2 linked regions of the Xenopus tropicalis genome follow. The protein of the gene in region 1 binds, or shares a complex with, the protein of each later gene. Links are inferred from orthologs where the notes say so. Each region holds a gene or a part of one and is shown in the gene's direction. Other genes may lie near its edges.

Evidence for each region. Proteins that work in one complex are often made in the same cells at the same time.
Region 2: eif3j (region 1) and eif3l share a complex: the UniProt entries of both Homo sapiens proteins name them as parts of the eukaryotic translation initiation factor 3 (eIF-3) complex. The link is inferred for Xenopus tropicalis from reciprocal best matches to the Homo sapiens genes EIF3J and EIF3L.

Annotation. Positions count from the first base shown.
Region 1 is NC_030679.2:118,203,302-118,207,394, reverse strand, and holds the end of eif3j (eukaryotic translation initiation factor 3 subunit J), read left to right. Parts: intron 1-397; coding exon 398-559; intron 560-692; coding exon 693-766; intron 767-1,171; coding exon 1,172-1,306; 3' UTR 1,307-3,297; downstream 3,298-4,093. UniProt on the Homo sapiens protein: Component of the eukaryotic translation initiation factor 3 (eIF-3) complex, which is required for several steps in the initiation of protein synthesis.
Region 2 is NC_030680.2:122,088,426-122,092,856, forward strand, and holds part of eif3l (eukaryotic translation initiation factor 3 subunit L), read left to right. Parts: intron 1-670; coding exon 671-740; intron 741-869; coding exon 870-943; intron 944-1,086; coding exon 1,087-1,258; intron 1,259-1,751; coding exon 1,752-1,906; intron 1,907-2,007; coding exon 2,008-2,178; intron 2,179-2,613; coding exon 2,614-2,747; intron 2,748-2,853; coding exon 2,854-3,027; intron 3,028-3,116; coding exon 3,117-3,306; intron 3,307-3,847; coding exon 3,848-3,928; intron 3,929-4,375; coding exon 4,376-4,414; 3' UTR 4,415-4,431. UniProt on the Homo sapiens protein: Component of the eukaryotic translation initiation factor 3 (eIF-3) complex, which is required for several steps in the initiation of protein synthesis.

The DNA of each region.
Region 1 (4,093 bases):
TTGACTCCTGGGTGATACCAGAAGCAGGGCTACCTGTCTGCCTCACATGGTAGCCCCTTTCTGCATCCTAGCCCTATTGCGCTATTTAGACCACTCAGGCAGATTTCAGCAGCTTAGGATGAGCAGGAGGCTTGGACAGTGCGGTGCCGAAGTGAGTATAGCACTCGGCCACCCCGCTCTGCTTGACTTATATTGTAGCCGTGTCCAACATCACACCCCAACTCGCCAGCCTGGGACATTAACTACCTGCCTTTTTGCCTGGCTTCTTGCTCTGGCACACAGGCCTGGCTCTACCTGCTCCCCAACATGCAGCTATGTTAGGGTGGCCTTTAGCACAGATATGGTCACAGTGAAGAGGGAAGGAAACCTTAAAAAAAAGTTTGTTTATTATCTGCAGGAGACAATGTTACCGTTACTGGAATAGATGCCATGAATCCGTCCTCAAGAGAAGACTTTACAGAATTTGGGAAGCTCCTCAAAGAAAAGATCACCCAGTATGAGAGATCGTTATTTTACCCAGGCTTCCTGGAGGTCCTTGTGCGGGAAGTGTGCGTCTCATGTAAGCCAGCCTCTCCTCCTTTCCAATTTCCATAAAGCTTTTTCATTCATGACTTATCACATGAACTTTGTTAGTCATTAATTTTGCCATATATTGCGGTGGCCTGAAGTATTTTTGTATTTTCCTGTTTTAGTGGAAGTGGATGACCTGAAGAAAATCAACAATTCTCTAACAGTGTTGTGCTTTGAGAAACAGAAGCAAGAGAAGGTGAGTTTATTTGGGTGGGAGGAGTATTAAAGAAATTATTTCAAGGTAATAGAAAAATGACAACCTATTAGAGGACTTGTTTCATGATGTTAGCATGAAGGTGTAACATGAGTGCCCCCTGCTGAGCGCTAAGAAGAATAGCAAATGTTTATTTTATATAGATAAGAAGCATCTCTTCATGCATCACCGCTCTATTGTTTTGCTCAATGTGACATTAGCAGGGTAGTGTTAAGCTTTATATGTTCTACCCCGCTCTTGCCATGCAGTGTAAAAGCTGCTAAAATCATGAATCATTGGTCATTGTTATAGGTAGGTTATATGCCCCCTGTAACCTGCTTCTGTGCAGGTAGAGATTTAGCATATTTTTTTGCCTGGATAAACTACAATTGTGTCTCTGAATTACAGCAACAAAGTAAAGCCAAAAAGAAAAAGAAGGGAGTTGTTCCGGGAGGAGGACTAAAAGCCAACATGAAGAATGATCTAGAAGATTATGGGGGCATGGATGAGGGCTATGGACGAGAGTATGACGATTTCATGTGACACGCTGGTTCTTTGTGGCCCTCATTAAGGAGTGCGCTCTCCTCCCTCAGGACTCTGCCAAATGCTACAGTCAAAGAAATCATCCCCCCTCAACGGGCCATATAAAAGAAAATGGCCATGGTGTGTGTATCTGGATTCTACTGGTTGATGCCCACATCGCACATTAAACAATTAACCTATGCAGCTCTATTCAGCATCCCCTTAACTCAAGGCTCGCAACCTTCTCCACTCTGCTTGTGGCATGCACGCTCAGCTCTGCCATGTTACAAACAGAGTCATGCCTCTGCTTTCTGCCTAGGAATATGGTCTCTCTCTCTCTGGGCAGGGCAGGTTATTAAATCTTTCTTTTTCTTCTGGCTCTTTACTTCCTGCCTCATTGACACTGCCCTCCCAGCCATCTTAGTTTTTTTTTTTTTTTTTTAATATATATTGGTTTCTTAGCTTTGTGCTAGAGGAATCTCCTGCTTTGAACTGTGATTCCTGATGGACTCAGCTTGGTGCTTTTCCATATTAAAACTTTAAACAATCTGAAATCACCTCTACAGTATGTGGAACTGTGAAGATGCAGAATGGTAAGGAGATACCGCTGGTGCATCAGACTATATGTGCTGCCTTCTGTTGGAGCTGCCAGTACCAAAACATGTGGGTCATCATGACTTTGTGGCCAACTGGCAGTTCTTGATGGCTCTGCCGGAGGGGAGGGCCATAGGGTCTTGATATTTATTTAGTGATTGCGTGTCAGTGTGGTTTCACGATTGGTTTATTGCTTTTTGACTCTTGCACCAAGGTTCAAGGTCTGGCCCTTTCTCTTAATCTTCTGCTCACCCACTGGATGGCGCTTTGCAAACAGGTCCTACTTTGGGAGAATTGTTATATTAACAATGAGACTGCAATGTTTGTTTTATAAGACAACTAATTTAATAAACTCATCCTTGTGACAAGATTGGCCAGTGTGCTCTCTCCTGCATAGGCAAGGTTGGCTTCTGAGTCTTTGGCAAAGTGTAGTGCACCAGGGAGCAGGGAGCTAGAGAGACCACCTCCAGTAAGTCATTATTAGTGGGTTTATTCTACCATGTATAATGCTGTTAAAGCGCAGATGGAATTAATAGCGTTGGGAAGACAAGCTGTATTTATGTACATATTAACAATGTTTGAAAAAAAAAAAAAAAAAAAATTATGCATATGTTATTTCTTTGCAGCTCTCCTTTGCTTTTGCCTTGATACCTTGTATTGATCTTTTTTTTTTCATCTTCCTTGTTGACAACTTTTATTTTTAGTTTCCTTCCCCCCCCCCCCCCCCGACTATGAACTGTTCTAGGCAAAGGACTGAGGGTCACAATATTTCCCATCTCTCATTTCCCTTATGCATTTGCCTAATGGAAATACTGAATATTTTTTTTCCTTGCTTTGGTTTCCGTAGCTTCTCTATCATGGGGGTTAGTCTGCTTGCGGTTTAAAGGTAAAGGCACAATTACTGTCTGTTCGGTCTTCCCTGTAGCCGCCTACAGCCAGTGGGGCTGCAATTATGTAAAAGGCCTGTTCAAGGGACATTATGCCAGAAACCACTTGTCTGTACAGCTAAAACCCACACCAGCATATTTAATTCTGTGTATTAAGGGAAATCTAACGGGTATATTATAGTCTCATGGCTGGATTAGATCTTTTTTACCATAAGTCGAAGTTACGTGTTCTTCACTTTCAAATGGGAGACCTTTGGTTACCTTTAAAAAGCTGGTAACTCCATGGCTGAGCGCACAATATACAGTCACTGCTGACAGAGAATCACATTACTTAAGGATTTTATTTTTCTTTGGGGGGGTGATGCATGATATGAGCAAACTAAGCCTTTATCCACACTACGCATTCTTACTAGAAATAACTGGGACAGGCACCATAAGTTCCATCTTCACTGTATTCCTTATTGGCACCAGCAGCTTCAAATAACAGCAACAAAGTGTGTGAAATGAAGTAAAATATATACATCCAACTTGTTTCAATGTTGTCTCCCTTTTTTTTTTGTTTTCTTGCTTGTTTCCCTTTGCTCTTATAACTCACATTTTTTTAAGGGAAAATATGAACCTATGTTCAACATAACCAAATCATGAAGCTTGTGTTTAAAAAAAGAAATCCATTTTTTTCCTTTTATTTAATAGCACTCCTGGATTATTGTTCTACTTATCAGGAGATTTTTTAAATAGAGACATTGAGCACTATGTAAACAACCCATTCCTTCCCCTAGGTACTGTTTGTGACTCCTGTTTAGAAGGAAGGGTTTATTATACAAATAAGTCAAAGTCCTTTGTTTAGAACCAAAGTTTCTCTGCCCACAGCCCAGTGTTAACCTGCAGACACAATAAGCAGAGAGAGAGCTGCTTCGTTGGATGGAGGTGGTGCAACCCTATAATGTGAACCATACACTGGCTTGACTCATACTGGCAACATTGTTACATGGCCTGCTAGAGATGGGCCGGTACCACAGGCTTGAGGCGCTACTGTTTAAAAAAGAAGGTTGTGGCCATTCTTGCCTAGTTATGCTGACTATTTTAGGAATATACCAGTATCATTTTAATTCTAAGTAACAATCCAGTGTATTGTGGGAAACTGATCATTGGCTGGAGGAGAGCAAACTATTGTAACGTTGTGCATATGGCCAGCACCAGCAATGCAGGGAAGAGCAAGGTACAGCCAGGCTTTGCTTTCATTAGCAATAATACTTAAGCACGACTTAAAATAGCAGCTATGGGCACTGTCAGACCGAGGACTGCATCAACTATCCAATGTTCCCTG
Region 2 (4,431 bases), on another chromosome or scaffold:
CATACCAAAAAATGAGGGAGAGAGCATACAATTGTGCAAAATGTATGTTGTAAATGTATGTAAATGTACTTGCTATTAAAACAGAGTCTGTTTTCTGGACTCCACAAACAATGTAGCAGAAGACAGCTGCTTCAAAGACCTAAAGGAGAACTGCAATTTTTTAAGCTTTAGAACCAGACACACACAAGGGATACAGATACTGTTCAGTTGGTTATGTTTAAAAATACTGTATCTTTTAAACCACTGAACATTTTTAATCAATTTATCCTTAAAAGTTATAGTTACATTTTGTTTTATTGTGCAAAAAACTGTTTGGAAAAATTCCCCTTGACTGAGAATTGTAAAATGTTCCCTGTTTGAGTAGTATCTAGATTATTAGAATGTTTTGTGATAGATAGGCAATACAGCAGACAGAACTGTGAACCTGTAGCTACAAAATGGCATTCATTTTTGAAAAATAAAAAGCAAATCTACAGTAGAACAAGCAGGAATGAATTTAGTTAGTTTGCCAACGTAACCCTTCGCAAGAGAATGGATTGTTAAGGTATCTTATAAATGTTAAAGTGCTTCTAGTTATATTTAGTTTATATCTTGCAGTTTATTATTTGACCTTCACATCATTCTTTCTGACTGTCTACACTAATAATAATAAGCATATTTATTACTTCAGGGTGGTCCAACACTGGAGCAGCGTTTTGAATCCTATTACAATTACTGCAACCTCTTCAACTACATACTCAGTAAGTGTACAGGAATGTATGCAGTGCGGCGATTGTTGCTTATTGGGAAACTGTGTGGGAGGGAGTCTGCAAGATTGTGAGTGGAACTTAACAGAGAAGCAGGGTAAAATTTGTGTATTCCTATCACAGATGCTGATGGACCTGCTCCTTTAGAACTTCCAAACCAATGGCTGTGGGACATTATAGATGAATTTATTTACCAGGTCTGTATTTTCCTCCTTGTATGTCTAATTTGGAACATCCAGGTGACCATGCTGTACTTGTGTTCTGTGACCTAGAGAGTCTGTATTAAAATATGATTTTTTTTCTAAGCACCTTTTTCTTTTTTTCTTATTCATTCTCTCAGTTCCAGTCATTCAGTCAATATCGTTGTAAAACAGCCAAAAAATCAGAGGAGGAGATTGAATTCCTGCGCTCCAACCCCAAGATCTGGAATGTCCACAGTGTACTAAATGTTCTACACTCATTGGTTGATAAGTCCAACATCAACCGCCAGCTGGAGGTCTATACCAGTGGAGGTAAGAAAAGGGGCCCTGTTTGGTTCAAAGGATGAAGCAACCTATGGGGCCTGTTAGATGGCCTAAAATATAGTGTATAGACGCTAACCAAGACAGTGGTGTTAATGGGCAAACTGTAGTTTTAAGCCCTTTTTTGGACTGCTGAGTTTTCCTCCTGGTACATCTCCCATGTAGATCTAATTTATTCAGCCTGTGTCTAATGGTAGACTTCAATGGCTTTGACTTCAGCAGTGGTAAAAGCTATCTGTAAGTGCCGTGATTACATTTTGATTGATACCCAACTGTTTGGTGATCTTTTTAAATCCCTTGCCAGAACTGTTTAAGCCACTACAGAAATCACCATTCCTGTTTGAAAGGTTAAAACCTATTCCATTAAAGCTTCGCTTCTGAGATTTTTAGCAATTATGCATGTCAGTGGTTCTGTGTAATTGATAAACAAAAAGACTCAAGGTATTTGCACAAAGTATGTTTCTGATTAGTTCTTTGTTTGCAGGGGACCCTGAAAGTGTGGCTGGGGAATATGGGCGACACTCTCTTTACAAGATGTTGGGTTACTTCAGCCTTGTTGGTCTCCTGCGTCTCCACTCCCTGCTAGGGGATTATTACCAAGCCATCAAGGTGCTGGAGAATATTGAGCTTAACAAAAAGGTAATATACCCAAATACACTCCTATTTGAGCCTTTAAGTGGAGTTTCCTCCTGTAGGTTTGTGACCCTGCAGTTCTTTTCTGTTTATTCCTTCTTTGACAGAGCATGTATTCACGTGTGCCTGAGTGCCAGGTCACTACATATTACTATGTAGGCTTTGCTTACCTCATGATGAGGAGATATCAGGATGCCATCCGTGTGTTTGCCAACATTCTGCTGTATATTCAGAGGACGAAGAGTATGTTTCAAAGGACCACATACAAGTATGAGATGGTAGGTCCTTTTTATTGCTCATGTACATGCTGGCTGTCTCTTCTCACCTGTAAAACTAATTTAATGATCATATCTGTTTTTTTTCCCCTGCACACCAAAAAATATATATAAATATTTGTTACTCTTGAGGCACAGTATCTATATTGCCTTAAATTGGCAACTAAACTAAGGCCAAAGACAAATGTGAATTTATTTTATGGTGAACTTCCCTTTAAATTATTACTAGTGTCCTTTATATACAACAACATTTTTTTTTAAAAATGCTTCAACCCCTGCCCCAGTGTAGTTTGCCCTTTGCTAGGGTTATTATGAAAAAGTAAAGTATCCTCTTTCCCGTAGCTGAATGCATCTGGTTGCATATCAAGTCTTACTTTTCTTGCCCTTTTCAGTTTTTTGCCCACTAGATACCAGTTAACTTATCTTCTGTTGGTGCAGATTAACAAGCAGAATGAGCAGATGCATGGTCTTCTAGCCATCGCCCTCACCATGTACCCCATGAGAATTGACGAGAGCATCCACACTCAGCTAAGAGAGAAATATGGGGATAAGATGCTTCGCATGCAGAAAGGGTGAGTAATGAAGAGTAACATGATAAAACTTGCTAAAAAGGCTCATAGAGCGGATGGGTTAAACTGCTTCTACCTATAGGTTGACCGACTTTTTTTTCCTTTACAGAGATGCCCAGATCTATGAGGAGCTTTTCAATTATGCTTGCCCCAAATTCCTGTCCCCAGTGGTCCCCAATTATGACAACGTTCATCCCAACTACCACAAGGAGCCCTACCTGCAGCAACTTAAGGTGTTCCTTGATGAGGTGCAGCAGCAAGCCCAGCTTTCCACAATAAGAAGGTAAGTCTGCCTCTTTACACCTTACAAGAGACACTGTTGGCTTACATTAAGATTTCATTGTATGCCTATTACTCTCTATTGTGTTTTAGTTTTCTGAAACTCTATACAACCATGCCTGTAGCCAAACTGGCTGGATTCTTGGATCTCCCAGAACAAGAGTTCCGTATTCAGTTACTGGTTTTCAAACACAAAATGAAGAACTTGGTTTGGACCAGTGGTATTTCTGCCCTCGAAGGAGAATTCCAGTCTGCCTCAGAAGTAGACTTCTACATAGATAAGGTGACAGATAACTTTTCCTCCTTCCAGCTAGGACCTTTAAAGCCATTAATTAAGAATTCAAGGACTAACATGTTTTCATCTAACCAGGCTCTAATCTAACCAGTTCTGGTAGAGCCTTGTGTGTGCACCACTGCCTACCTTCTAGACCAGGGGTGGGCAAACTTTTTGGCTCAGGGGCCACATTCACTTACAGCCAGGCCGGGCCAGCGTTATGCCAAGGGCTGCCATCAGAAATCACGGGGCCTCACAGCTCCACTCCCCAGCATCCTGCAGCTTCCCACCCCAGCATCCTCCAACTCCACCCCCAGCATCCTCCATCACCCCCCCCCCCCCAGGGACCTGCGGATCCTTGCAGCTGCTTTAGCATCCTCCGACTTCTGTCCTCACCCTAGACCAGGGCCGAAACGTTGATGTAATTTTATGAAGCAATAAATTGGATTGAATATAAGTGGAGTGTGCATCTGGAGAAAAAAATATGTATAGATATACACACACTCTTTTGTTCTGCAGCCTTCTTAACTATATTGTCTTCTATATTCAGGATATGATACACATTGCAGATACTAAAGTTGCTAGGCGGTATGGAGACTTCTTCATACGACAGATTCACAAGTTTGAGGAGGTAAGAGGACTACAGTATTCCATGGGAAGTAATTATGCTGTGTTTCACTTTAGCGTCCCATAAAGAAACAATGTGTCCATATCCTTGTACTGTTGTCATATAAAACCTTTGTCTCGGTTTGTTTATAGTGGGTAGTAATGATCTATAGTTATTTGCTAGTTACCGTAACAGGGCACTATGTATTCTATGAATTCTGGGTATTATGCATACATACATTCAGAAAGACAATAGTGACATTGATCGTAGTCTTGGATGATAATTTGGAGTTATATGTTTCAGATTAAATCCATGTCAATGTAATGTTGTTCTTGGCAGATGCAGCATTATCTTAACTGCTTTTGGCCATTGTCATGTCTGCGACTGTGTTCAAGAGTGAAAGCAGTGTAGAGTAAAGGGCATCCAGAACCTTTGATATGGTACTGACATGCTTTTCCTTTTTATCCACAGCTGAACAAGACCCTAAAGAAAATGAGCCAGAAACCTTAACATGACTCAACTATTTA